Struthio camelus: one gene and its partners. The protein of the gene in region 1 binds, or shares a complex with, the protein of each later gene. Links are inferred from orthologs where the notes say so. Each region holds a gene or a part of one and is shown in the gene's direction. Other genes may lie near its edges. The genes, in order: TXNL4A, LSM8, LSM3 and LSM7.

Region 1 (6,831 bases):
TTGTCAAGTTAGTTTCATTGTAGTCCTGAATCCATACTGATTTCATACAGATCTGGTAGGTTCTCAATCTTATCCACAATTACTGTTTAAATATAAACAGTGGTATGACATAACAGAGGTTGCTAGAAAGTTACCTAAAATTTCTTGACTATGGATTATGGTTGGGGAAGCAGCAGGTAGTCTAGGGAGGCACTGGGGATCAAAGAGGTCTGACAAACAGCCGTCTGGAATGGTTTAGGTCTAACTTACATGTTGAAGGGCCATCCTCAGACAACTGCTGCACTGGTTGTCTTCAGTGTTTCAAACATTAAGATCTGCGCCTGAACTTACCTCCCCCCAGTTTAGCATTAAAAGCACTGAAACAGTACTTTTACAGCACCTATATGCCGAAACAGTGGTGAAAGAGTGCTAGAGATGCCAGTGTAAGTCCCACTGACAACACAGTCCTTCAGACTAGAGCTTTTGCATGCCCAGGCAGTTCTGAGCCCAGCTCTGTCTGCAAAAGCCCACGCAAATAAATCGCACCCTGCACTAAAACAGGGACTCCACAAATAGCCACGCACCTAACTAGAGGCGAAAATCTGCAGCCCTTATTGGCAAAAATAATAGTTGAAGATGAACCACATGTTTAACACCATTCTTGTCTAATTTCCTATGGTTCTCTTTGCTGTATTCCACTTACTTTAAGTGACTGTCACATACTGTGTCCTAGATCTGGGTCCTGGGAACCTGCCATACGACTATATGAATCAGAACTTATATTCTGCAGCAGCACTCTGATCAATTCTGGGCACACAGTGCTAGGCAGAAACTTCTTGCTGCCCCAGTCTTCTCACACAAATCTTCAGAGATTAATCAGACATTCAGACACTACGAATAACAAAAAGGTGTCAACGTAGAGTAGAAGTTTCTGTCGAGCTGTGTTTCCCCTTGTCCTGAGCAAACCCAGTCTTACCTCACCTGCATCACTTCAACGATTACAACCTCGGCGCTAGTCATATTGCTTTATTTATTGCTTTATACTGGCCTTGATCTGTATTTCTGCCTCAGTTCGAGTCTGCTACTGGACACTGGCTAGAAGGGGTCTAAGTGTTAAGACTGGGCCTTGACCGGCGTGTCTGCAGCTCACCATGAACAATTTATCCATTAACAGCAACTGGTTCTGAACAGTTCTGAATATTGCATTATTCATTCCGAATACCCTACTTCAGAAAAATACCTATCTAATTATTTCTTCCCAGATGACGTATTTTGAACTCTGCCAGCCCCACATGGCTGGAAAAAATATGCAAATTTCCCCACATGCAGTCAGTGTTTTGTAAAGTATCATGCAATATGACCTTTTAAGGATAAATCAAATTCATCCTCCAGAATTAACTGTCTGTAGAATAAAATGTAAGAGCTAATGACACACTGCAGCAGCACTGTCCAACTTCTTGATGAGCAGAACCTGACGATATTGCAGCAATTTATTTAGACTGGGTAGCAACTGAACCGAGCGCCAGATATGATCACTTGACTGGCAGATGCCGGGGAGGCAGTACTATATTACATCATTTGCTTTTGTCACGAGTTTCTCCTTCATTACAACACACTGCTCATGAAGGTCAGAGTCAAACACGCATTTATTTCAGAAGCAGTTCCTGAACTTTGCAAACAAAAAGGTGATTCATGGGGGAGCTAGTGCGCAACACAGTGAAGGCTGATTTAGCTTTAAACTAACCAGCTCATACATTAAAAACAGGCTAGTCTCATACAAACCATCTTCTCAGTACGGTAGACGTGCTGAATGTGCCACAATTTCAGCCACGTTTGATGTGCGTGTGAACCATTCAAACACTGTGGTTTTGGTTCAAAGGCTGGGTTTCTTTTAGTACTAAGTACAATGAGAAATTAAAAAAAAATATATATATATATAGATAGATAGCAGTAAACTAAAAACACTTAAAGGAATCTTGTGCAGGGCAGGGGTCTCTCCAGATACTAACCTTAGTTAGAGGAGCATTGAGTGTTCTTCCTCCAGCACTACTTGGGCCTGTCTTGTAGCTCTGTCTGTAATCCACACTCCTCTTTTGACAGGGATGTACATGAGAAGTAATAGCTGGATGAAATTTATAAGCCAAACTTGGCTGGCCATCCATCAAGTGAAGAGATTTTAACAGACCATATGTTCTGCCCCTGAACATAACTGCTCAGATATCAGATGTCCTGTTCAGTATGTTAAATGTAATACCTGTTAAGGATATGACAGTTTTGGTTTTGGACTAGTGTCATCTGCAGTATCGCGAACTCTCTTAATTCTTCTTAAAGCCTGTGACGCCTCACATTTTCTATTTACATAAGACTGTCTGCTTTCATTTATGGATGCATACATAATGATCTATATTGAAATAAGGTATGTATATGCAGGTCCTTAAGCATTGCAAGGGAAAACTTTGAAAGCACAACTCCTAGGTTGGGACAAACAGGCAAATAAAAGAACGGCGTATAAGTATTCATGTCAGTGTCACCGTTTTTCTAGGCTAGCCCTACTACTTTTGTGGAGCTTGACTCACTACCTTCAGATTTGTGGACTGGCACTGCTGCATCACCAGACTTACCCAAACGACAGCAAATTTTCCTAGCTCTATTTTAAATTCAAGTTAATAGCCTAAGTTACCCAGAGTAAATTCCTCCCACTAACTTATCTGTGGAAGAAAACCGATTATTTGGGTGGTAACAAAAGGATTAATCTGGATGGGTTTCTTTCTAACAGCGTTTCTGCTTATCTTACCGCTTCGCGAGGAATCAACAGTGAACAATTTCCTGATCTTTACGTCGCGGGCCCCTGTTACGTCTGGGTGCCGAGGTCCAAAGGTTGTCCCAGCTCCGCCTGCGCGCAGCTCCACGCTGCGCCTGCTCCTACCCTCGCGGGGAGATTTCAGCCAGCAGCTGCTGTGTACGTTCGCTTAACTCTTGCGCTGCCTGACGTCTCGGTCAGGAGGAAACCTCCCTCAAAGTCTGCGAATATTCCCGCTGAAAAACGTGACACACAGTGGGAGACGCTGAGGGAGTCTAGCCCGCAGATGGGAGGTCACCGGGCGTTGCTGCGGGGCCCTCTGAAGTAAGAGGGCTTTCTCCTGAGACCGGGTTAACCTTCCCTCCTTTCTCACTTTCCCGAAATTGAGTTATCTAGAAAGGAGATTGTGTGAGATGAGGATTTTGATCCAGGTTTCCGGAGAGCTTTGCATTTCTGTGGCAAAGTAATTTGATACAAATTCCATCTACCACTGTAGGACGATTCGCCAATGCCCTAGCTCAAGCTTGTGTGGATTTTTGGTAGTCAAAAGTATGGTTTTAGCCCTATTTCCTGCAAACTAACCTTTTAAATGAGAGTTACCATGTAAAAGTATTTATTTGCTTTTCAGGAAGCAAAAAAGATTGGCCGGGGATGCCCTACCTCAATGGTCAACTTGATTCTGAAACCTAACGATGGCGATGCAAAGCTCATGGTTTCACTGAGGACCACTTCAGCTGGAATATCTACCGAGCGGTGTTCAAGGACGCTCCTTTCGGTTGCAAGAGGAGACAGAACCTAGTGGTACCTAAGCAAGGCTACGGTCGGCAGCTGGCCAGTGCAGTTTCCCGGGCAGACTCCCCAAGCACCGGGGTCCCCCCACTCCGGCTGCCACCGGCCATTTTGGTTACCCTTCAATCCCCTCTCTCCGGCTTGGTACGGGCCGAGCTGTCTGCTCCTCTCCCCCCCCCCCCCCCAGTTTTGAGACTTGGTATGCGCCAACGGGCCTCCCTTCGGCCGGGCCGGCCCCGCCCACGGAGGGAGGCCCCGCCCCCAACCAGGGCGGAAGGGCTGTTCACTCCTCCCCCTTCCAGCGCCGGGCCCGGTCGCGCTAACGCATTTCGTCACTTCCGCCCTTTCCGCCGCCGTTGGTCGGTCGCTCTTTCCCGCTGAGCGAAGGACGCCCCAGGGGTGCGGCGCGGTGCGCGGGTGGGGAGAGAGGGGGAAGGAGGAGGCGCCTCCTCCGTGGCGCGCGGCGCCTTGTGTGCGGGCAGGCGCGAGCCGCGCGCCGAAGGTTCTGGAAGGGGCTGGGTGTGTGGGGTGGGGGTGGGGGCGACGTGCGCCATGGCGGCGGCGCCGCCGCCGCGGCCGTTACGCGCTGCCTTGGGCTTGCCGGGGTGCCGCTGCGGAAAGCTGTGAGCAGCGAGGGAGAGCGGGAGGGCGTTTCTGCCGGGCGGTGGGTGGCGTGTGAGCAGGCCGGGCTGTCTTGTCAGCTGCCGGGCGCTTGCTGTCGTCCCGCAGGCCCGCTCCCTGCCCTTCAGGATGTCGTACATGCTCCCGCACTTGCACAACGGCTGGCAGGTGGACCAGGCCATCCTGTCGGAGGAGGACCGAGTGGTGGTCATCCGCTTCGGGCACGACTGGGATCCGACCTGCATGAAAATGGATGAAGTCTTGTACAGCATTGCGGAGAAGGTAAACTGCAACTGTAACGTCGTACCCTCGCTTCCTGTACTCCGTGTTTCAGGTGGCTAACGGAGGCAGGTTACGGCTCAGTTTCTGGAGAGGTGTTTCTGCGTTTCGAGGCAGCAGCAAAGCTATTTTGTTTGCTTCCGTGAGTGTTTCCTAAAAATGATCGGCTGCCCTGCTGTTTGTAATGCTCAATGGGACAAAAAGAGTGCTGCAAATCCCAAAGTCGGAATTGCTGCTTGTTAATAATTCCTCATTTAATGAACGCCAGCGTTCAAACAGAAACATGCGCTGGGTAGTAGGAATGTTATGATGTTAGGTAACGCAGCACCGTCACTTTACAATTAGAATGCATAGTAGCTGCAGGTTTTCATTTGGATCTAAAAAACTATTCTAATTTGACACTTACAAATGGTAAGACCCTAAAACGTATAGGAAGATGTTGATTAGCATATCAGTGATGTTCTTGGTGTAAACGGATGCCATTCCGTTGAGTTGCATGGGCTGAATTAAATGTTAGGACCTACTGAGGCAGGCTTTGAAGCTTTTTCGTATGGAAATAGTGCCTTCTTACAGTAGGTCAGTCACTTAAGACACGTACACACTGAAGAAGAGTTAGTCTGTGTTAACATACACAATCAGGTATGATTTACCTCTTCATTTCTGTGGTAAGGGTATTGTGTAGCATCATACGTTGAAAGTTGACAGCTCTTCTTTGAACCGTATAGAAAAGGAAGCAAGAAATCTGAGCAACAAGTGTTAATATTTAACCTTAGGCAGGAAAAGGAGTTAGCTACCTTCGTATAAAATTGTGTGCGTATTGCATAACTTGGAGTGAAGTTGTGATCCTGGTGTACTCCTTTCTCTTTTAATTGTATTTTTAAGTAAATAAGCTCCTGTTCTGTTTTTCAGATCCCTAAGGTTAAAGATCTGTACCTGTAATCAAATATTAAGACAGAATAGGGTATGGTGAGGACTGCTGTGACATAGTTTAATTTAGTCATTTTGTATTTAAAGATGGGAGCTTTTTATAGTTGGATACTGTTAGTATCTGCTCTTGGCAGGATGCTTGGCAATTTGGCAGACATATTGGCACTTAAGGGTGATTGGGGGAAGAAAGAACAATATAACTTCTTATTTAAAAATCTCCCTCTGCAGAAATGGCAAATTAAAGGGGGAGATCCTTCCTCATCCTCTTGCTTACAAGCCATGTTTGGATCTCGCAGCTGTTTTAAAGAGTGAGTAAAAGTTCCAATTGTACAGGTGTTTATACTAGAGAATAATACAGAATGTTAACATGCTGTGATTGCATGCTACATTTGAAGAAAATGTAGCTGTATTTTATATTTGGTACCATGGTGTGTTTTTTCTTTTGTTTTTAATCTGCAGCATATTTCTGGGTAGCAGTGATGTTTTCTGTACTTTATACTTTGAAATTAGTTTTTTGTTTGTTTGAATCCTTTGGGGAAAGAGAAACTAGAACGACATACAGAAGTACAAAGCAGGTGATTTTCTCTGATATGTACTCTACATAGAGTTAACCTACGTTATTTTTTTCAGCGTTATATTTGAGAAGGAAGCAAGGCTTCACAATAAATCATAGCTATAGAATGTCTTTTTTGGGGGGAGGAGGGAAGAGTTAAAATCATGCTGAAGCAAAAATCTAAGAACTGAGTTGTCCAAAATTCCTCTGGAGCACTTTCTTTATAAAGACACTTTTTTAAAATTTCACTTTACAATAAGCTCATCCCCTGAAGTGTGGAGCTTTTACTGCTAAATTTCTGTAATACTTTTGTTTTTTAATTGTGATGAAAGTGCTTTAAGACCATGATTTGTTTAGAACATAATAGTGTAAATCAGGTGACCTTTCCTGAAGCCAGGTCCCTTTAACAGATAGGTTATATTGGGTCAGTGCTGGTCTAGAGAGGATTGTTCCAATATTTTGCACTTACTTGATGATAATCAGAAGTGTAAATAGCTGTGATTGGCTCAAACATCAGTTGTTCCTCTTTGCCTTTCTGTTAAGACTGCAGGAAAAGTGAAGAGGGGGAGAAAAAAGGAGGGAAGGGGCCTGTACAAATGGCATTGGTATTAGTCACTGGTGTTTGCAATTAAAGTTGAGGAAAGCTAATCCATTTACTCTTATCCATAGTTTTCAAATTCTTTAGCCATAAGCATTGCTCTTGGCAGGATGTCATCTTTCTCTTCGGACATATAAATTTAACACCTAAACTGCAATATCATATTCAGAATGAGGAAAAAAAAAAGTAAACAGTGATGGAATAGACCTTCAACTTTGTACTTGCTGTGTTTGCAGTCTTTTTCAGTTTAGTAATACAAGTCTGCTAGGCATCTTCAGCTTGAAT
Region 2 (7,991 bases), on another chromosome or scaffold:
TAAGAATTACTCTCAGAAGAATCAAGAAAATCAGATGCAGGGGATCTGGGGGTGTTTAGTTCTTTTCTGGAGTATTTATTGACTGATTTCTCTTCTTCAGCATCTACCACTTCATTATTCCTGGCCTTAAGTGCTATTTTTTCTTCAGCAGCAACTAGGCGATGCAATTCTTGTTGAACAGATCAAAATAGATGTTGCCCAATTTTGTGTTTTGTTAAAAGAAATTTCTTAAAGCTCCAGTTCCTGCAATCAGGTGATTATACTAGAGCTTCAGGTTTCAGGGAAGCCTGAAGAGCAGTAAGTCTTGAACCTTTCTCCATCAGTTTTGACAGGGAAATCACTAAACTTGACATACCCTGGCACTGTGGTAGTACACAGGCCTTTCTTCTTGTGAGAACTCTACAAAGATGTTTCACCCTTTAGCATGGCTGGTTCTATAAAACCTGTTTACTTCTTAATAGCTAAGGAAAGCAAAGCCCCCAGAGGCCAGCATGTTTAGGGAGATGTAAAACTGATAAACAATACGCAGTGACAGCAGCAGCAGATCACTCACTCATCCGTCCCAGCAACTTTAGGCCAGATAACAAGTTTACACCCAGTAACTGCTTACAAATACACTCTACAGCTACCATTGTGGGGTTTCCTTCCCGCCCTGCCAGACCATAATGAAGCAGGAAAGTGTGCAGAGACACTCTAGGGCATGATTAGATGGTTATATAGCCTATGGAAAGCATAACATACAGCAACCACCCACCACAATCTTAATGTAAGGAGAATCTTTACAAAAACAAAAACCTGATTTTAATTATGGGAGTAAGTATAATTATCAAGTAAGCTGTATGCTAGAAAATGTAAGAGAAAAGGAAAAGCTTTTTACACAGGTGCTTTGTTTCTTCAATTATTTGAGAGCTCTATGGCCATTACACTCATATTCAGTTACTCAGTGTGTCCTGATGGGCAACCGTGCAGCAACTGAAGGGCAGAAAAGAGCAAAAGGGTACCTAAGCTGCAGGTTTCTGATCCTGAAACCAAAGTTACATTGGCAATTATGGTCACCAGGAATATAATTTATCTGGCCTAAAATAAGTGTTAAACAGTGAAATGTCTTATGTCTGAGCTAGTCACCCTAGGCTCACTCTATAGCCAATGGAGAGACACAGACATCTTCAGTGGAAAATACATCTCTGCATATGGCAGAAAACTAATTTTTTTCTCTGTAAAGGCCTACAGTGACATGCTCAGACTTAGTTACTTAATTTCTAAAGTTAGACTCAAGGGATCTTGATGAGCTAGGGAGAAATGATGCTCAAGCCTGCTTATTCACTTCACCTTAAAGGTCACTGGATTTCTCTACTGAAAGAAACCCTGTAAATAGCAACAAGAAGCCAAGATTTCCCTCTAGTGGACAAGTAGTTTAACCACAGTTTCAGATTCTTTCTTGGTGCTCTAATAAATAGCCTAATAGATGGTGGATGTTTTTCTGCATGTGGCACAGCTTCAACAAAAGTGCAAATTCTGGTCCCACTTTATAACTTACTACTAAAGTTCACTACCGAGAGGAAGAGGTGGAAGAGATCTAATTTTCTTCAAACAGATGGGGGAATTAAATCAAGAGTTTTCCACTTCCCGAGTGGAGCATTATGTAAGAGGAAAATGGCATTAGTGGTGGTTTCAAACAGAAGACTGAACCTAAATTAAGACTTTGAAAAGAAGGGCATAGCTGCCTGCCTTCAAGGCCAGGGTGGAGAGAGCCTGAGCAGAGGAAGTGGGAATTACACTCTCAGCAGTTCCTTTGAGTGGGCTAGCTGCTGTGAAGCACCTAATGTGGCCAAGCCTGGGTACCCAACTTCAGGAACCCAGATCTAAGCCTTATTTTTCAAGTCTTAGTCCTTCTTTTACAAAATAAGAAAAATATGCCTTCTGTGTTCTTCAGAGACACTGCTAAAATAAAGAGATAAACTAGATTCTTAGGGGATCAGATATTGAGGTAATTTGGGCATGAAAGTATTTAAGATTTTATCCTACATCCTTGTATCCTACTCTCATATTTTTGGTCTTTGAAAATGTCTATAGTGAAGAACAAAAGCAGGAAAAGGAGAAAGAAAATGTAACACCACAGAAATTAATCTTCGGCCTCTTAAATGTAATACATAGTAATTACTTCCAACCCTGGCATAAGGTTCAGCGGCAATTAAGCTTTTTAAAATAAGAGCTTGAGAGGGCAGGCATTATGCAATGCTCAGCTGCAAAAGTATTTCATGTTCTCTGATATCTCTTGTCATGGTTTTGATAATGCCTGAGACATCAGGCAAATTCCTGAGAAACTGGCTTGGTGCAGTTACCTTCAGAGGTTCCAGGAGGTGTTCATCCATTTTTTTCTGGCTAATTGGCCTTAAAAACCTTTGTTTTGCTTCCTTTAAAGTAGCTGTGAAGATAATAAATGAAATAATCAGCATTCTACTGAAAACGGTATTCCCTAGATTAACTTCAACAGGAGTTAGACATAGAGTTACAATACGCACCTCTTGCTAATCTGTCACCAAAGTCTTCATTGAAATAAAAGCAAGTAGGAAGATCTGAACTCAGAGTAGCATGTGTGTAGCAAATTGAAAAAAAGAATCACAAAGTACTTTTACAGTTGAAAGGCAAATACACAGAAATTATGGAATGCAGAACTGAGATGTTTGAGGCAGCCTTAATTTGGCCTAGTTTGTTTCTGCATCTTCTGCTACATTATCTGAGACTCTTTCTCTACAGGCCTCAATCAGTCAGCGAGAACAAAAGATGATACCTGATCTGTGTCTAGTTACTTGGTGTTTCTTTGGCAGAATTGGGAATGAAGTGGACAATTCAAATTTTCAGTTCGTGTTTTAAATGCCCGATCATTTTTTCTAGGTATGAAAAGATACAGCCTTTCATAGATGAAGACTTAGGAAATTTACATGTGAAACCCCCAGACAGCAAGATAATCACTTTCTTCATGAAGTTAATTTCTTCATGTTTCTTCAAAATATTATTTGGAAGAGTTTTCTCCTACAAATGTCTATGCAGTGCTTCCAGGGAATCTAATCTCCTGATGATAGGCAGCTTGAATGTTATTTTAAATAACTTTATGAAGGCCATCACAATCACTATTCTCACCAATAGACTGGAAAACTGGGACAGAGATGAAATTACTGTCTCAGTGTTATCTAAAAACTCATTGACAGAATAGGGAAGGGAATTCCATATTCTGAGTCCCAAGACAGTATTTTGTCTACTGAAGGTCATGAATTTACAACTTATATTTTTCTAGTTCAGAATGTATGCAGCTGCATTTCATGATACGCTAGATGAAAAACAGCCCACTATTGGTTTTTCCACTTTGAAAGAACTTTTCTCATACAGTGTTACATCTGAAAAGCTAAGTAGTCAGTGCAATAGCCAGTGAATACTGTCTACAACCAAAAGCAGGCAGAAGAAAATACGTTTTAAAGTGTTATAACAAAGACTACTTGTGCAGTGGTGCTGAAACAGGGGCATTTACTTCACATTTCAGAGAATTTGTTAAGTATACTATTTATACTCTGGGAACTGTCAGGAGGTTATACCTGTGCACTATTTTGGATACACACACACACAAAGAACGGTTTAGGTTGGAAGGGACCTCTGGAGATCATCTAGTCCAACCTCCCTGCTCAAGCAGGGTCCTCTAGAGCATATTTCCCAGGGTCAAAACCCACCAACAGACTGCTGTATTATCAAATAGCATTAGAGGGATTCATTCATGACAACTTTTTATATATGAAAATGCAGCCGATGTCTGCATGTACAACATATTGCAAAATATTTCTGAAAGTCTGCTACATACTAACAATGGTTGTACTATCCACCACAGGGAAGAAGGGCTAAAACAAATGACAGGGAATCAGTTTTACAGCTTAAATTAGTTGTTACTGAATGTCTTGACTTAAATTTGCTGAGACATTTCCTCTATGCAGGCTCCCAACATTCTTGCAAATGTTCTTCCAGTGTCATCAAGTCCAGCAGATTTAATATACTCCTCTATTTCACAGGACTTTTGAATAGGCTGAGGAAACAGAGTACAGTAACTAAGACTGACCAAGAAGCATGGAAGGCAGTTATAATCAGGCTGAAGTGAGAAGAAATAACCTGCCAGCAGAAGAGAAGGGAAGAACGCTAGTGAAAGTTAAAGCTATACAAGAGCCAAATGGTATGAGTACTTGAAGATACTGGCATTTGTCATTCCCAGGTTTACAGATTAGGATGAAAGGAAATTACCACAAAATCCAACCTCATGCATAAACATCACCATTTACTTGACCTTTGCACACCTTTTCAAAACATGTACAATTTTGCATGGATGGAGAAATCCTAACTACTGTATCTCTTCAAAAAAGTAGCACAACCCTCCGCTTATGAGAGACATGGCCAAACAGGGCCGGGCTCACACAGACTGCAGTTTGGTGCCATGCCCGTTTCACCATGGGATCTGGGCACAGCAACCCTCCCTTTGTCAAGCCTCCCACCTCCACCGCACCCAGGGATCCACCGTTTCCTTTGAAAACACCGCTGGAGAGGACTTCGCAGGCAACACTGCCTGCCACGGTAGCCCCGGACGGCCACCCCCCACCGCAGGCAGCCAGCCCCGACGGGCAACACGCCGCCATCCCGCCCACCCCACAGCGGCAGCCCTCAGAGAGGAGAGGGGGCGACACTCCGTCACCCTCCTACGTTTTAGGAGGGAAACCTGGCTCCCGTGTTAGCAAGAGAGATACTATTCCCAGGCAGTCAGCCCGCAAGCCGGGCACGCAAACGGCCCCTCCACCGCCCACTGCAGCCACTCCGCAGCCGCGGGCCGAGGCAGGAGCCGGCAAAGGAATGAGCCGCTGCGCCTGCGCCTCCTGCCCCCCGCCCCTCCGTCATCGTTACTTGGTACAGCCCACGCGGACCTCCCCGTCCCCCCCCCCCCTCCCCGCGCCTCTCAGCACATGCGCACCTACGAAAGCTCCGCGCACCGATGCGACGCGAGCGCGGGAAACAGTCGCGCCATTTGAAATGTGCCCCTTCGCCGCGCCGCGCATGCGCACCGGCTGAAGCGGCCTTTCGGCCCTCCTCCTGGTCCTCTGCGGGCCTTGCGCGCCTGCGCGCGGGGTCGCGCGTCAGCGGCAGGCGCCGCCAGTCTCGCGGCCGCTGTCTCGCGGGAGGTGGCCGCCGGCGCGAGGTGAAGCGAAGCGAAGCGAAGCGCGGGAGCCGCCGCCATGACCTCGGCGTTGGAGAATTACATCAACCGTATCCTTGTGCCGCGCGGGGAGACGGGCCCTGCCTTGCCTCGCCTCGCCTTGCCTTGCCTCGCCTCGCCTCGCCTTGCCGCTGGCGCGCGCGGGAGGCCGATCGCCGGGCGGGGGGATCGGGGCCCAGGGCCAGGGCCCGGCGCGGCGTTGGGCGCTGGAGGTGCTGCGGGCGGCAGGTGCCTGCGGCGCGGCAGAGTGCGGCCTGCGAGCTGTTGCCCAGCCCTGGGCAGGCACCTGGGAAAAGGCCGGGGCTTCTGGCCTCCTCGGGGCCGCTCCCGCGGGAGGCAGCGTTGCCTGGGGCCTTCCCCGCTGGCTCGGTTTGTCTTTCCGTGGGGCTGGCTCGGAGGCTGGCAGGGAGCGAGAGAACAGCGCTGCCTCTGGTGCTGCGGCAGGGTTACCCCAGGGCTGCGCGCTCAGACCTTGCCGATACTACTGTGAAGAGGCAGACACAGCGGACCCGGGCTCTTAACATCTATTTAGCCGTCAGCTTTACGCCGTTCACTCAAAAGCTGGGAGCTGGTGGTCTTGGAACCCTTTTCTTGCGAAGTTTCGGTACTCTTAGCGACCTATGGCTAATTTCGGTTAATTCACAAATGCAGAGGTCCTAGCCCATAGTCAGTCAGGTCGATGGAAATGTGATCATTAAATTGGGGTAGTCAGAGCCTCAGAGTGAGGGGAGGTAGAATGCCAGACTCAGGGTCCCCACCGCTAAGCTGTTTTTAAGGACACAGCTCGAAGTGGCAGTCCATCGTGTTTATAAAACAGTTTGTTACACACTTGCTATCTGATAGTCTGCTGCTTTGCCTTGGAGCAGTACACTGTGTAATGGGAAGAGCAGTGGAATTCTGATGTGTAGTGTGCTTTTAATGATGATCGTGTTTGCTTATGGCTCCGTGGTCAGGCTAAAGCGAAATTTTGGTGCTGACTGGTGTAATAAAAAAGAGAGCTTGTCTGTTGTCAAATGTTGCTGTTAACAATGCTGCTTGTCTTTTGTTCTTAAAGGCTTTTCTAGTTCCTAATAAAGTTTACGTTATCACTGCTTCAGAAAGTTATAGTGGTTCTGTTTCAGATGTCTCAAAGCATTTCCTTAATGAACTATCAGGTACTGTTGCAGTAATTACTTCTGATGGAAGAATGATTGTGGTGAGACTTGTACTTTTACACATCTTTTGCTACCATAAAGACTCTTCCATGGGAATAAAGAAACAATGCTGAAGCATACACACTTAAATGTTCACGCCTTTACAAACTTTCTTTTTTAAGCTTTATCACCGGTATTTTGTATTGCATGATTTAAACAGGTACTGGTTGTTGCCTGTGAGCTTTGCCCTTTGATAAATTCATACATGCAAATGCTTTGTTTTGACTCTTTGTAAATGGCTTTTTCTATAGAAACGGATAAGAGAATGCATTTCTTTTTCACTTCAGTGCACCCTTTCTTCAGTAAGCTCTCTACCTTAACTTTCATGTTAAAAACATTTCTTCCATAAGCTTACAGAAAAAACATAGTTGATAACTAAGAACTTATTGTGGAATTCTGTTTAAATCGGAAAAGCCGAGGACTGACAACTCTGTGTTAGACTGTATAATGTTTTATTTTTATTGCTTCACTGTTCTTTATTTTCACATGGTTCTCTTTTTTTCCCCCCTCTCTGATATTCTTTTATGTTTTGAGTTTAACTTAATGATATGATCATTGCATGAGGATTATATGTTCCTGTCCATATGTATACAGTTTAGTGTGGCTTCTGGAAGGAGAAAACATTAAAAAATAAAGCTAGGAAGTTTGTATTTTCAGCAGAAATATCTTAGCTTTGGACAATTCTCTGTCTTGTTGGAGCCAGTCTGGGAAACTTTGGTTGTGATGCAGGATACCTTTCTACCACAAAGATTTAAATTGAATTGGTATATATGAATTGTTGTCACACAGTTAGATGGTATAAATGGTTATTATTACTGTTTAAGTGATAGTATCTTGTGTAAATTTAAATTTCTTAATTGATTTGTGGAATTTAGCAATTGATTATGTTATCTTTTTTTTTTTTTCTAAATTCATACTGAAGTGGTACAGAAATTCTTCCTCTGGAGCTTTTTTGTGGGAAAAAAATTGAGATTCCTTTACAGAATCACCAATTAAAATTGCTCCTTAAAATGATCTCAGCGCTGTTGAATATAAAAATCTAATTTTTCTGTTCTTTGATTTTTTTTTTTCTTTCCTGAAATTTCCATACAAGAAAGACTAAAATACTGTAGAAATAATAACATTAACTGTCTAGAGAGCTGTCATGGGGACAGGGGCAACTGCTTTTCTTCTAATGTTAAAGATTACAGTAGCTGTTAGTATGAATACTCAGTAGTAAATATTAGATATTCTTCTTAAATTGATTATTGCTTTTAAAATTTTGTTCTCCATCTGTATGTATGTAAGCTTAGAAATAAAACTGAAATAAAGCATCTGTTCTGTAGTACCTTAGCGCCACTTTACTTTTTAAGATACCCTTGAGAGCAAAGATGATAAATTTAAAAGGTTATTGAAGTGCTTACTTTTTGTGTGCTTTTTCAGGGAACCCTCAAAGGTTTTGATCAGACCATTAATTTGATTTTGGATGAAAGCCATGAACGAGTGTTCAGTTCTTCACAAGGAGTTGAACAGGTTGTACTAGGATTATACATTGTAAGAGGTGATAATGTGTAAGT
Region 3 (6,939 bases), on another chromosome or scaffold:
AAACCTATTACTATCCCTGGTTTGGAGATGGGGACACTAATGCACAATGAAGTTAGGGGCCTGATTTTCAAAGAAGCTGAAAAGCCTCCATTCCCACCAACTTCCATTGAAGACTTTTGATAAAAACGTCAGATGAAAAGTCCTCTGTGGATGTAAACTGTCCTCCATCCCATTACCTCAAATCATTCCAAGTCAACAGCCTGCACAGTTTGGGGATTTTCACCCAGAACAGAGCAAATCAGTGACAGTTAACACTGGGCATAGCTTCAACTTTTAAACATCCTTTCACTGCCCCTCACAGCCTCCCCTGTTCTTACCTTCTCTCTCTTTTCTTTGCCTGCTCTGGGGTTTCAATCTCTATCTCAACTGGTTTGCTTGGCAGCTCTGCTGCCGGAACAACAGCATCTTCTTCTAACTTATCCATGACAGGTTCCTGGAGTTCTGGAAAAATAAAATATTATAATTAATCCACATAGAATGGATGCTCTTGGGAGGGCTGCCAATGGGATAAGAACCTACCCGCTCCCAATCATCTGCTCAAACTCAACCTACAAACAGAACGCCCCAGTAATTACCAGTTCTTGCATCTTCTATAGCAGAGTCTGCTCAGCTGTTTTAGGTAGCTGTGGGATGCTAGTCACTCTGCTCTTAAGGAACCCGATCAGCAAAGTCTAATGGCAAGTCACTCTGTCACAAACCCAAACAGGAGAAAGGCCAGTAAAATGATGCAGGTGTGACTTAAAGGGTGCTTGCGGAGGAGAAAAGAAGAAACGGATAGCTCTTCCTGTTAGAAGGCATAAATCTATAGCAGTAAAATATAAAATTATGATCATCATGGTTCTCATCACAGTGTGTTGAGGGGCACCTGACCAAACAGATCAGTTGGTTTCATCTCCATCCTGCCTTGCTAGGAAGTCACAGTTTTGAATCTTCAAACTGTTTCATTCTTAGCTTCTCTAAGGACTAGATAACCCAAACAGCTGAAAAAGTGCTGTGAAGTTGCATCATTTTAACATAATCAGCAGGTTGTCAAATGCAAGGCACTGCATTAGGTCAGTGGTTGTTTTGGTCTTTTTTTACTTTGGAAAAATTCTTAGCATTATTGTGAGATATCAGCTTTAAAAGATACAGATATGCACATGGAAGATACTCTAAGTACACAGAACTCACCTACCTGAATCAAATGAGAAATGGCTGAATAACCAAATTACAAAAAAAAATTGCATATAAGAATATTTACTCCCTAATATGAATAAAATGCAATAAAAGGTTGTTACCTTCCACATCCTCCCATTCATCTTCACTTTCATCATCATCATCGTCAGCATTGTCTTTATCCATCTCTTTTTTAACAGGAGATTCTCTCTTCAAATTTTTCTCCCCCTGAGGTGGCTTCAGTGAGTCACTATGGAAATTATTAAAATGGCTTTAGCATTGGGAAGTGCGGGTGCTTGTTTATTAAAAAAAAAAAAACACAGAGAAAGAGAAACATTAAAAACAGGGAAATAAATGAAGCATGACCTCTGTATCAGTAACAACAGACACAAAGGTTTTGAATATTTGAAGGTATGTGAATACAGATGCCTTCTCTGTAAAGCAAAGCATCTGTGCCATAAACAACCATGGGCTCATTGGGGTAACATTTTTTCCAGTGTAAACTTAAGTCCTGGTTCCGCAAGGCTTTCTAAGAAGGAAGATGCCTGAACGTACAAAAGGTCCCATCCTTCAGAACAGCTTGCACAAACGCGTTCTTGGAGAATTAGTTCACTGAATCATTTCTTCTTACTGAACCTTCATCAAAGTGTACTGAAATCAGAACTGTTTCTGTTTCACCACACATTAGTGGCCAGTTGGCCAGTGGAATGAGACCAACCAATCAGTTTCATGTCTTCTTATTAATTAATTTTGCTATGGCAACCTCCATGGGAAGACCACATTGCTCTTATATTTGGATTCCTAAAAACACAGGGAAATGATATGTTTAAAGGTTTCTGCTGATACTTGTAAACTCAAGTCTCCCCGCAACATTTCTATACATGCTGGGTTCCATGAAACCTCCCTAGCCCCATGAAAAACTAGAATAACAAATTAAAAAAATTTTAGGTTTAAACTATTGAATTTGAAAAGGCTCACGTATCTGCTTCCCCCACAGACCGTCTTCTTCAAGGCCAACTCTGTTTACATTAAGCTACACATACACCAATTTGCAGCACTAGGCCCTAAACAAAAACATATAATCATGAATAAAGAGTTCATATAGGCTCTAAAAATGAACAGTAAGTGAACTTACCTGCACATTTCCTCTTCACTATGACTCCCTTTACTTTCAGTGGTTTTCTTATTTTCTTCTTTTATTACTGATTTTACCCCTTTTTGTTTTGAAGTCTTACTTGTTGAGCTGCAAACTCCAGTACCACAGTCTTCTTCCCTCTTTCTAGCTGGAACTTTTGAGTTTTTCCTTCTTGTATTGGGCTTTTTCTCTTCAAAATCATCCGCACCAGCTAGAAGAAAGGATGAAAGGATGATATGCCAAAGGATGAAATGTCACCTCCACTGCAGTCAGGAGCAATACCTTCACATTGTTCATTAGAGGAGAATTTCACCTACCAGCTACAGAAGAAAGTGAACATTCATAAAGAATACCATTTGAGTATTTGCATAATAAATAGGGAATAACTCAACAACAACAGTTAAAAGAAAATAATTGTAGCGTTAGTAACGTAGTGTTAGTTACTAAACAATAGCAACGTAGTGGGAAAAATACATAAAGATTCCTATAGTCTTACCAATGAGAGCAGCTGAAAAACAAGCATCCTACTTACCACTCGTAAGAAATTATTTTCTTCAGACAACTATTCTGTAAAGCTACTCAGAAGAACTTTATTTAAGGCATCTCCTGGGACGCTGACCACTGAATATAACAGCAACCTTCCAGGTGACACACGGGGGACACTACAGCACGGTGTGTTTTCACAGAAGAGTCATAACTAAGGTCAGCCAGACCCTTAACAGGTCGCTTGCTTCCTGATTTCCAGCCTTTATCAGTGTGTGAAACCCTTAACGTCCTCCAGATAACTTTGTGTGGGCCCTGCTGGACAGTTCGTGCATTGATTTAAATCCCTAATTCATGTATTTCAGTCATACCCCCTCTGGGGCTGTGCAGAAAAGCTAATTCAGTTCAGGGAAGTCACCAAACGATCTTTTACACCTCTGGAAAAATCCAGAGGGAAATATCCCAAACGGAGCGAGGACGTGGGAGAAGCCCGGGATAACGCGGTGTCGCACTACGTAGGCAAACGAGCGGCAGGGACGGACCAAACACGAGTTGAGAGAGCTTCTAGTCTTATTTCATGACCCTTTCCAACACCAGAGGCTGCTGAACTCCAGGGCTGTGCTAAGAGCGAGCTGAAATCCCCTCCGTTTGGGTAACAGAGAAGGTCGCGGAGATCTGGCGGGCATCAGCCCACCTGGAGCCTCCCGCTCCGCCACGAAGCACGGGCGCAGGAGCCCCCGAGCGGCTCGGTGCCCGCCGCGACGGGCCGGGCCGGGCCGGGCCGGGCCCCCCTCACAGGGCCCCGCCACCTCTCAGCTCTACAGAGCGGCTGGATTCCCCTCCGCGCTGCCCCCTGCCCGGTCTTTACGCTCCCCCGTCTTTATTGAAAGAAAACCCAGCTTGCCAACAAGGAGCCGGCGGGATGGGGCGCTCGGTCAGGCCGCGCCGGCCCCCCCGGGGAACGGAGGGGCCCGAGGCCCCGGCGGGACTTCAGCGCCTCCCAGAGATGTCGCGGCGCCCAGCCAGGCCCGCCACAGCCGCCCGCACTCACCCTCCGCCTCGCCCCGCGCCGCCCTCGGCCCCCCGCGCCGCCTCTTGTCGGCAGCCGCCGGCCGGGACGAAGCTTTGCGTTTCCTGGCCATGGCGCCCCGGCGGCGGAGGCGAGCGCCCAAGGGGCTGCCGCGGCAGCGGACGGGCTGTCCCCGCCCGGAGCGGCCGGAGCCGCCCGCCTCCCCGCGCCGTCGGAGGGGAAGGGGCAGGGCCATAAAGTCTCGCGGGAGAGGGCGCGAGGCGGTTTGAAAGATGGCGGATGAGGTGGACCAGGTGAGCGGCTTCTTCTCTCAGCGCGGGAGGCAGCGTGGAGACCTTCCCCGCCGCGGCCCGGCTCTGGCTCCCGGTCTCGGAGCGTTGCGGCGGCGGGGCCCTTCCTGCCGCCATTGCCTAGGCGCCCTCCTTCTCTCCCGCCGCGGGGAGCCGGTTCCCGTGACCGCCAGCCCCGGTAGGGCCGCAGCCCCGGGCCGGGGGGCGCCGGCATGAAATGGCGGCAGTGCCCCGCGGGCTGCTGACGCTCGGCGGCCCGTGGGGGCTCGCGGCGCCCGGCCCGGGCTGCGCCTCCCCCCGCGCAGCCTTCGTGAGGCGCTGCCCGCCCGCCGCACCCGGGCCGAGACGTTACGGCGAAGCTATACGGGGGTATAGCGGGGTCCCCGCGCTGCTGCCGGGGGCTCTGAGTGTGGGGGCTGCTGGCGGTGCCAGTGCCGGGCCGGCCTCCCTGAGGAGCCGCGGGAGGAGGAAGTGAGGAAAACGCCGTTCGTGAGGCTTCGCCGCGGTGGCAATAGGTCGTGTGCTAGGGAAGGTAGACGGGGGTGTTCCTGCGCTTCGGCTGCGGTCCTGAAAGCTCAGCTTTACCACCGAGAGAGCGGCTCAGCCCTGCTGGCGTTCAGGTTTCTGACTCCGCTGTGAGGCCTGGCGTAGCTGATGCCGTTGTGCTGGCGCCTCAGCCAGAGGTGCGTGGCTGGGGCAGGAGGGGCTGTGCGTTACCCAGCTGACCCCAATACGCTGGCGGAAATGAGAGCGTATGTTCACTTTTCCTAGCTTAAGCTGTGTGGTGCCACAGCTGTGGCACTGGCTCCTAAGCTAGCTAGTTCAGAGCTAGTTGTGCAGGCTGGGCTTTGTGCCGCAGCGCGGCCAAGGGTTGCCGATAAGGCATGTGGCCCTTTTGACAGCATTTGTGAAGCACAATTTGTTGCAGCCTAAGTTGAAGCGTGCCAGCTAATTTTGTTCGTGCTGCTAAACGTTCATAGAATGGTAATATCAATTGCCCGAAGATACAGTGGGATTTGAAAGAATGATTCAGAGTTCTTGATTTTGTGTTCTTACCCCTTTCTTTTGTGTTTCTCACCAATACTGAGGAACAGAGATGTTCCCAAGCTGCTTCTGTGTAAATGATTCTTTTTTAATTTGACTTTTCAGCAACAAACAACAAATACTGTAGAGGAGCCACTTGATCTCATCAGACTCAGTCTAGATGAGCGAATCTATGTTAAAATGAGGAATGACAGGGAACTTAGAGGCAGACTACATGTAAGTAGAACACTTTCACAGTACTACAATGCTCGTTTCATGTACAGCAGCCTTCATAATATTACAGGCAAACTTATATAATAACTAGTTTAAAAGCACATGTAACTATCTTGTGATTAAAAGTGCAGAAGTGGTTAGAGAAAGTAAGTTAAAGGTCGTCTTACTGACGGAGGTTGGTCCTCTTTTCTCAGAAGCTTTTTTTTGTGATGACAGTAGCAAAATCTAATTTTTTCAGTATTCTGTCTGCCATAAAATGCTGCTCTAGAGACTCAAGAGGTGTATTTGTTTTTTCTTTCTTAGTCCTCTGGATAACACTGACCAATTCATTCCACTGTTTTTGGCCTTTGTTTCTATGTTTATGAAATGAGCATAATGACGCAGATGCCCTCTTGTAAAGCACATTGAGGTCTATTTAAGATTGAAATAAGAATGAGATTATCATTATCAAACAAATGACTGTTAAGCTACGCCTAATAAGGATACGATGGGATATGTTCTCAACTTGATCCTCTGCAAATCTGACTTGTTTAAGTGCATTCTTTTCTGATAGTGGTGTATCACTTAATGAGAGAGTTTTCTTTTTCTGTTAAGCCAGTCATCCTTCCTGAGTACTTTACTGTGTTGGGGAAGATAACCAGTTGTCCCATATATTAACCAGGCCCCAACTCATTTGGGACCTCAATGATGAGGACATATCCATGAAGATCTGGTTATAGTAATTTCTAATATGGTTTTGGAAGGTATTTGGAACACTTTTGTAAAATTTTTGTTGTGGCTTTCAGTTTTTGTGGGGCTTTAAGTTAGCCCCAGATAATCAATCCCAGGAGGCTGGATTGGTGGCAAAGAATGTATAGCTTGTTTAATGTCAATAAATGACAAGGATAAATATATCTATCAGAGTTTTTGCATGCATTCTCATTGAAAGCTTCAAAGCCATTTCCTGGAAGAGCATTTCTGTGAATATAAAGGCAGTGGGTTTTTTCATGCTGCAGAGTACTGATTTGTCTGCCTTTATATTTGAAAATTTAACTATAACTAATACTACTTTGCTTTAACATAGTGGCACGCTTCCATCAAAATTCTCGTTTTAATGAGCTTGTGTTTGAACTTTGTAAAAATAATAATGAGCTTCATTCCTACAGGCATATGATCAGCACCTAAATATGATTTTGGGTGATGTTGAAGAAACTGTAACAACAATAGAGATTGATGAAGAAACCTATGAAGAGATTTATAAAGTAAGGAGTTCAGTGTATTTATCCTTGTAGAAAGATGTGTGGTGGTGGTGTTTTTTTTTTAAACTAAACAATGTTATCTGTTTGAAATAGGCTATTGCTAGTACTTATTGGGCCAAGCTCTGACAAAAGTTTCAGGCAGATTCTTATGAAAGTATGAAGTGTCCAAAGACTTAGTATTAATTGTACTGATCTCTTCAGTATGCCAATAAGTTGCAAAGTCAAGCTTACTTTTGTTGGAGTTTTCTGGTGTTTTTTATGATTGAATTTGGTCACATACTTATCAGATGTGTTCTGTCAACTATACTTTTGTAAATGTAAACTTTTCTTTCCTTCTTCTTAGTCTACCAA
Region 4 (7,397 bases), on another chromosome or scaffold:
TATATGAATAACTAGGAACAATATTTATATTTAAAGACTCTTACTAATCAGGCACCCATATTCAATAGCAGTGCCATGTCACAAGTAAGATCTCTGCAAAGCTGGAAATTTGCTAGAATCATAATTAACAAGTGAGGTGTTTTTACATGACACTGCAAAACTAGGAAAGGGCTTTCACATAACAAAAGCATAAAGTCTGAGGGTGTAACTACACAGGCAACTAAGCCAGTCTGTTTGCAGCCATTAGAAGGGCACACTTACTTGCTCTGATCCTCATCAGACCCTTCCATGGCCTATTTAACACATTAAGAGAGCAAACCACTTTTTTCCTGAGTTAGTTTTTTGTCATGTTGGTGAGTTAATGGAATTTGGACAAACGCTAGGGCTCACAAATTAAGTAATGGAAGAAGTGAAGAAGGTGGCAAAGAGAAATTTAGCACATCTGCATTTCATGGAATTGTGACATGAAAGGCTGAGCAAACCTCATGGCTCACTCTTGCCATTTGTTCCTCCCTCCCTTAATCTCCAGACTCATCTGGGCACCTCAGACACACTTGTTCCACCTGTGATACTTGCTAGATCACTATGAGCTGACTGAGCTCACTATCAGTTTTTCATGCCAGGCTACTGCTAGTTGCAATTACATTAACTCTATCATTTCAGAGAGACCTGACAAGCAAGAGTTGGCACACAGGTAGTAATGGGAGCAAAGAGCTGGGAAATGAGTATGAACAATCTCACCTTTCCAGTGGCATTGGCTCAGGGAACTACAGCCTAAGGCTAATGTTTTAAGGCAGAAGACAACGACATCGCTACCAGCAGCACCAGCCCTTTCCTGCCTACTGTAAAGTATTTCTTCTCACGTGATACCCCTCTTTGTGCAAATAGAGTTGTGCATCTACAGTGACTTGGATCATTGAATTGATTCCACTGAAAAATAACACATTTATTCATAAATACTTATTTTTTCAGTGTTTGTCAGCTGTATTAATTCTCTGATCCAGTTCACCACAGAACTGCAGTATTGGCTTACTGTTCAACAAATTTTAGCTCAAGTTGAGCCCTACAGAACAAGAAAAAAGCCACCTTCTCCTGCTGTGCAGTGGAGTGATTCAACTTACAGGTACCTATAGAAACCTTTGCACATCTACAGTAAGAGGAAAGAGGCAAGACAGGAACAGATATAAACTGTATACCTTTAAGGCATGACATTGTACAGTAAAGGGATAAGAGATCATTAGAAGGAGCAATTTACACTGTAAGGAGGTCACATGAATCTGAGTATACACAGAGAAGTTGTATCACTAATTAGGATTACAAATTTGTATGGCAATAGTGGGAGGAGAGAAGACAGTGCTTTATGACCACAATCCTCCAGTCTGAACAACTGAGGATACAGTCCTAGTAGATGCTGGTTTCAGCAGCAAAGCTGGCAGAAATAGTTGCCTATTCACAACCCTCTCCCTGAGTTCATAGTCATCTCAGTTGTGTCAACACAGCTGTCTGGGGAGCTGGTCTTAAGTCAAGTCCTTTTAATAAACAAGAATTAAAAATAATCCTCAAAAAGTTTAACTGTGTCACTCCAATCATGCAGTTTCTAGCACAATCTGGGTGAACAGTGATGCTGACACAAGAATGATGTACACTATAGCACAGGAAAAGAAAAATTATTACCTTGGAGACACTGGTTCACAGAATTACACCATAAGCAGCAGCTTCCTCTGCACAAAGATAAACAGAGAATGAAGTGCTGTTTGCGATTCAGGCAGTCCCAACAACCAAGAGAAATCCCATACTACATGGCAATTACCCACAAGGACTGGGAATGACCCATAGCTCTGACAGCTGAAAAGCACATGGAGAAAAATCCAGGGAAAACACAACACAATTTCCAGGTTGCTATTGACTTGTATTTTTTCCCCTCTTTTTGCAACTTAGAGTAATTTGTTTCTAATTCTTTAATTTTTTTCCCTTATTAGAATATACTGCATGTACAGCTTTTCCTCAACTTCATCAATGGATAAAATTGTCTTAGAGATTTAAGAGACACTATTGCTTCTTCAGGGAATATAGCTCCTCCTCCCCCCTCCTTCCAAAAAAAAAAAAAAAAAAAAGATATAATGAGCTATGCCTACTCTTACAGCGGAAACCATGCAAGACAAATAGTGGAGTTACCAGGAGGTGGGGTGCGTTCCTTCCCCTGTGAGCTGCATAATCAACGCAATGACTATCAATAGCAGACAACAAATTTGCAGACAAAGACAATACTCCTTTAACAGGCACTGTACAGTGGGAAGAGAGTTCGTAATTGACACTATTCATAATGTGACAGTTTCATGTGATTAAGTTGTCAGCCATCTTAATCTAGAACTTCAGGAAGTCTCTTGGACCTACTGGACCTGCATCACAGAACACTGATTTTACAAAACAGAAACCACGACCTCAATTCAATATTCTACCAAAAGCTAGTAAAATAATGGCAGCTAGCTAATGGCAGTGAGCTAACATGCTCACTGTAGATTGTGTTATATATTCTGCATTAGTCAAAGGTTCCTATACCTCATTATTGTTACAGAGCAACCAAGAGATGGCAAAACCATGAAGGAAAGGTGAGAATGACAGGAAATTAAATGAAAAGTGAGGACTCAGATGCCAAAACAAGATCTCTAGGTGTAGATTGTACTTGGATCTCTAAGATCGCACCCCTCTTCTGCTGCTTCCAGATGAGGATCTATATTTAGGAGAACCATACTTCACTAGCCAGCCTGCTCCTTCTCCCTACTTAATTCAGTTCAGAAGCAAACCTGGACCATCTTCTGAAAAAGGCCATCCCACCTCTCAGTAGGGAGAGGAAGAAAGATATACTCCCAATACACCAAACAGACAGTACTACTTATATTCGAAGAAGTTGTAAATGAGCTAGCTTGGGTAGCAGAAATACATTAGCAGCATATAGTAAGTTAACTCTTTGCTGCTGCAGCATGACTGTTTCAGTATTCCAGCTGACTTGTTCAAAGCTTGCTCAACCATGCTTACACTACTTTGCTGCACAAACATACTAAATGACTTGCTTACAGAAAGGAAGCAAGCTGCAGTGCATGGAATTGAAGCCAAGACCTTCAAGTGTCAGGGCTCAACCACTGGACTATCCTACCTGCTATCTTTCCACACTCTCATGGGGGTCACCCTTTCAAAATTGATGGAAAAAAATGACTCCATGCCAGTCCTTGACCCATTCTTACATCTTCTCTCATATTAATTTGAGGGCTCCAGGCTGGCAGCACTAGTCTAGTTGAAGGATTATTAGAGACACCAACAGTGTGCAGGACAGGCAAGCACAGAGGAAGGGAGCAGGTGATGCACAGAAAAAGAACTTAGCTGGCAGTCTGCCCATTATGCAAGTAAACATCACTGGCAAGGAATCAGTATGCATGTTTGGGGGTGGTGGTGGGGAGATTTTTAAAGAAATTTTAAAATTTTTGCTTGTTCCTGTAAGACCCTTGGAAATACAGTTTATCCCACAAAAGGTATCAGTTCAGATGAGGAACAAGAAGACAAAAATCAAGACAGTCTATAACTTCAGGTTCAGCAGAAACCTTGCTTTACTTTACAACAGCTGCTTTCTCAGAGGCAGTTTGTTGCTTGGGATGAACTCAAAGCCAAGAGCCTTCCCTGCTGCAGTGACCCTGATCCCAGCCCCATCCAGTGGCTTAGGCACACTTCCCAAAGGACCACCTGGAGAAGACTGCTAGCAGCACAGGGAACCGATGTTGCAAGAGCTACGACAAATATTTTGCTAACCACAGGAAAAGAGATTAAGAAACACGTAAATCGGGGAAGACACAAAACACAAACCTGAGCCCGGTTTGGGGTAAAAACGATGCTTTCTTCTTTCGTCCAGCAAGAAAATACTGTAAGTCGGTCATTAACACCCGGGAGGCGGCTCCGGAACCGCGCTCCCACTACGGGAGCACGGCTGCGGCCCCCTCATACCACTGGGGCCGTCCTTCCGGCTCAGCGGAGGCCGGGTACCAGCCCCCCCAAGTCCCCGCAGCCCCAACGGGCTCTTGGGATCTGTCCTGCACCAGAGCCAGGCTTTGCCCCACGCCCAGTCTCTGCCCGGTTGCTGCTCCGTCCCGGTAGGGTTCGCCGGGCCCCGCAGAGAGAGCGGGCCCAGAGTATTCCTCGGAACGGCACAGCCACTCACCTGCGCAATGAAAAGCAGGAGAAGCGAGGCCCGGAGCCAGGCCTGCCGTACTGCCGCCATGCCGGGCCCGCCGCGCCGCCGCCCGCTTTTGTTTCCGACGGGGCCGGGCCGGGCCGGGCCGAGCCCCCTTCCGCACCAGGTAACACGGCAACCCGCTCCGGAAGTCCCGCCCCACGCCTGCTGGAGGAGCGAGTCGCCCTTGTGGACAGCCAATGAAATGGCCTGTGGTGTTGACGTTGCTTCTGGCAGCAGCGAATGAAATGGCAAGCGGCGGGGAGAGGACAGTGGCGGCGCGAGCAAGATGGCGGTAAGCTGTTGGCGGGGGCTGCGGGGCTCGTGCTCGCCTAGGGAGCAGTCACGCGGAGGTGGCGTCTGGGCTCGTCACCGTCTTTCCGTGGCTGCGGCCGCTGCAGGGCGACGAGCGGGGCCGTGTAGTTGCGGTCTCCCAGCCTTGGGAGATGCCCGGGCCCGGCTGCCCCGTGCTGCCCGCGCGCGGAGGGTCGCTGTGCCTTTTCGCCGTTTCCCCCGCTCCGCCTTCGCTTTTAGCTCTGTGTTGGGGGAGGTTTGCCTTAGTGGTATGGTTCCCCACCCGGGGTCTGTGTGCGTGCAGAGATGTTTTAATTTAGCTTGTTTTTGGTCAACTTCCTTAGGATAAGGAGAAAAAGAAGAAGGAGAGTATTTTGGACCTCTCCAAATACATTGACAAAACAATCCGAGTGAAGTTCCAAGGTGGGAGAGAAGGTGAGCCTACGGGCAGCACTTGGCTGGTAGTGAGGCACGTGAATTTGCAGCATACTTTGCATCTTGGCTTTTTTCCTCCTCTTCTGTGTCAACTTTTGTCTCCTATGTGATCATATTGCCTTCATTCAAGAAAAGATGAGTAATGGATTCTTTTCTTTGTTGCTATTTGCTGTTACAGGTATGAAGCTTCTTATTGTGTTTTGCCTTTAATCTTTCCAGTAGCCCCCATCACTGTTATTTTATCTTTGTGTTTCATCCTCTTTGTGTCCTTTTCTCATCATCTTCCATTGGTTTTCTTAAAGTATCTTTTTGGCTGTTTTTGGTGGGGGTTGTTTATTTGTTTGTTTTTATTGCAAGGATGCACTTAAAGCACAAAAGAAACAAAGCTTCAGAGCAACACATCTGTCTTCCCTTTCATCTGTTAACTTCCTGAATGTGCTGCCTGTTGTTTTGAATTCCTAGATTATTCTAACATGTTTTACAAGATCTTTTCGTCACTTTCAAGGCTCTTGTATCCTCCCCTTTCATCCGTCCTTGCTCTGCTAGCATATATCCATCACTAAGCAGCTGATAGTGCCATCTGCAGACACTTGTTCGTCTGACAGTTCACATGCTGTGTGGAAGTGCTCTGCGTAAGCTTTTGCAAGGCTAGCTGAGTTTGTTTTAAAATACCATTTTCAAACTCCCAGTTGCTCTGGATGCTTACTAGTTTTGAAAGTTACTAGGAATCTTTGATCAGTGGGTTTTTTGTATTTTTGGGGGCAATTGACAATTCTATTAGTTCTATTGGTTTAGATTTTCTTATCAAAAAATTTGCTCCAAGTTTCTTTCTGTTTTTTTAAATAGGATTATGGGAGTCATATCTTTTGGTTTAGTGTCTTAGCAATGATCGTAATGCTGGTAATCAATAGATGTTTTCAAGATGGAAAGTTATTCTGTGCAGTCCTGCAGTTTCTTTACTGACCAGTCTTGTAGATTCGTATTTGGTTTCCTGCCAAAGTGCTTGGCTCTGTGCAATGTATCCCTATAAAAGCAATACTTATGTTGAAAAGATTACAATTCAGGACGGAAGACAGGACACCTGGAAGATGGGTCACCTGAGGAAAACACTTAAATATTATCCTCTTGGTTCATTTTCCCATTCATCTTCCTTAAGAGCTTTTTTTAATGATATAAATTGTGTTGATTTGTATGCTGAGGTATTCTTAAAATGCCCCTGAAATTGACTGATAACAAAAATGTAAAAGTTTTGAAGAACATTTTGAAGAACTGGCTGAAAAACCTGAAGGCTTCCATTGACACAACACAGACCGGTTTCAGCTTGTGCTTTTACATTTGCATTGTGATAAAGAGGGCACTATTTAATATCTCTGGCTTGGCTTGTTTGATAGCCTTGCTTGAGGGAGGAGGGCCTGGAACTGGAGAACTGAGTCCTGTGTTGCCACAGTCCTATTTTTTGGCAGGGGGTGTCTCTAATCGTTCCTTTCTGTGTGGTCTTTAATAGCTAGCGGAGTCTTGAAAGGATTTGACCCTCTTCTGAACCTTGTGCTTGATGGTACCATTGAATATATGAGAGGTAAGTAACATGCGATTTGTGTTTTTTAAAAAAAAAAATCTTCCCCCCTGCCCCCAAATATTTCGCTTGATAAAAAACATTCTGTTCTGTGAGTTGAATAACCAGAAACTGCAGCTTGAGATCATCCAAAGTGAGATTTGTTCACAGTTAACTATGCTTAAAGGAAGGGTTAAGATAACAGAGGTTAGGTTAAGGGGCATTGCTTGTGGTAGAGGATTCTTATTAGTCCTTTTTGACCTCCCCTATAACCCATCTGGTCCTTGTTGTCCTCCAGCACTTGAATGAAGTAGCTTCTGTCCTCTTAAATGAGGCCGTTGCCTTTCACTTTGTGTATACCATTGGAGGAGGCCAGTTCACACACAGCATGAAAAAAAACTCAGTAAAAATTGGTATCTTACTGTCTTAAACTGTTCTGTTAGTGCGATCTTTGCATTTCTGTGGAACTAAAGCCTTCTATAACCTCTTAAGGCTAGCACAGCTGTGATTTTTAGTTTTATTTTCCCCTGCAAGCACAAATGTTCCTCTTCCCCTTTTTGCTCCCTTAAATGAAAGCGTCTTCTCATGTTAGGGGGCAATCTGTTTTCTAGAGTGTTCCCTTGCCTGTTTGCAAGGAAGCATCTCAAAGTTTAATTTTGTTCTTAGGAGGGAATTTTGAAAGATGAGCTTAGTGCCTTTTTACAAAATATTTTGACATCTTAAGGAGTGTAGAATTGGCTCTTGCTGTGTTAAGAATGTTCATCTGTCTGTCCCCATCCATTGTCTCGCTTGATTCAGTCTGGGCACAGACGAACAAGGAATTTGTTTAGTGCGTTCTGTAGTCAGGGTCTTTGTCTGATTTGCATTGATGCCCAAATGTTTGTCTGAAAGGGTATT

What was found.
Region 2: TXNL4A (region 1) and LSM8 share a complex: the UniProt entries of both Homo sapiens proteins name them as parts of the precatalytic spliceosome. The link is inferred for Struthio camelus from reciprocal best matches to the Homo sapiens genes TXNL4A and LSM8.
Region 3: TXNL4A (region 1) and LSM3 share a complex: the UniProt entries of both Homo sapiens proteins name them as parts of the precatalytic spliceosome. The link is inferred for Struthio camelus from reciprocal best matches to the Homo sapiens genes TXNL4A and LSM3.
Region 4: TXNL4A (region 1) and LSM7 share a complex: the UniProt entries of both Homo sapiens proteins name them as parts of the precatalytic spliceosome. The link is inferred for Struthio camelus from reciprocal best matches to the Homo sapiens genes TXNL4A and LSM7.

The regions. Positions count from the first base shown.
Region 1 is NC_090943.1:94,314,407-94,321,237, reverse strand, and holds the start of TXNL4A (thioredoxin-like protein 4A), read left to right. Parts: upstream 1-3,810; 5' UTR 3,811-3,967; exon of another isoform or gene 3,968-4,070; intron 4,071-4,081; exon of another isoform or gene 4,082-4,191; intron 4,192-4,297; 5' UTR 4,298-4,318; coding exon 4,319-4,471; intron 4,472-6,831. Other genes in the region: probable 2-ketogluconate reductase, read right to left, coding at 1,989-2,186. UniProt on the Homo sapiens protein: Plays a role in pre-mRNA splicing as component of the U5 snRNP and U4/U6-U5 tri-snRNP complexes that are involved in spliceosome assembly, and as component of the precatalytic spliceosome (spliceosome B complex).
Region 2 is NC_090942.1:28,358,652-28,366,642, reverse strand, and holds the start of LSM8 (LSM8 homolog, U6 small nuclear RNA associated), read left to right. Parts: upstream 1-4,982; 5' UTR 4,983-5,261; coding exon 5,262-5,292; intron 5,293-6,396; coding exon 6,397-6,437; intron 6,438-7,857; coding exon 7,858-7,985; intron 7,986-7,991. UniProt on the Homo sapiens protein: Plays a role in pre-mRNA splicing as component of the U4/U6-U5 tri-snRNP complex that is involved in spliceosome assembly, and as component of the precatalytic spliceosome (spliceosome B complex).
Region 3 is NC_090955.1:9,035,133-9,042,071, forward strand, and holds the start of LSM3 (U6 snRNA-associated Sm-like protein LSm3), read left to right. Parts: upstream 1-3,932; 5' UTR 3,933-4,075; coding exon 4,076-4,096; intron 4,097-5,242; coding exon 5,243-5,353; intron 5,354-6,495; coding exon 6,496-6,591; intron 6,592-6,931; coding exon 6,932-6,939. Other genes in the region: XPC (DNA repair protein complementing XP-C cells), read right to left, coding at 318-441, 1,278-1,405, 2,291-2,501, 3,825-3,915. UniProt on the Homo sapiens protein: Plays a role in pre-mRNA splicing as component of the U4/U6-U5 tri-snRNP complex that is involved in spliceosome assembly, and as component of the precatalytic spliceosome (spliceosome B complex).
Region 4 is NC_090967.1:1,465,051-1,472,447, reverse strand, and holds the start of LSM7 (U6 snRNA-associated Sm-like protein LSm7), read left to right. Parts: upstream 1-4,397; 5' UTR 4,398-4,508; coding exon 4,509-4,514; intron 4,515-4,857; coding exon 4,858-4,948; intron 4,949-6,452; coding exon 6,453-6,524; intron 6,525-7,397. Other genes in the region: SPPL2B (signal peptide peptidase-like 2B), read right to left, coding at 4,208-4,267. UniProt on the Homo sapiens protein: Plays a role in pre-mRNA splicing as component of the U4/U6-U5 tri-snRNP complex that is involved in spliceosome assembly, and as component of the precatalytic spliceosome (spliceosome B complex).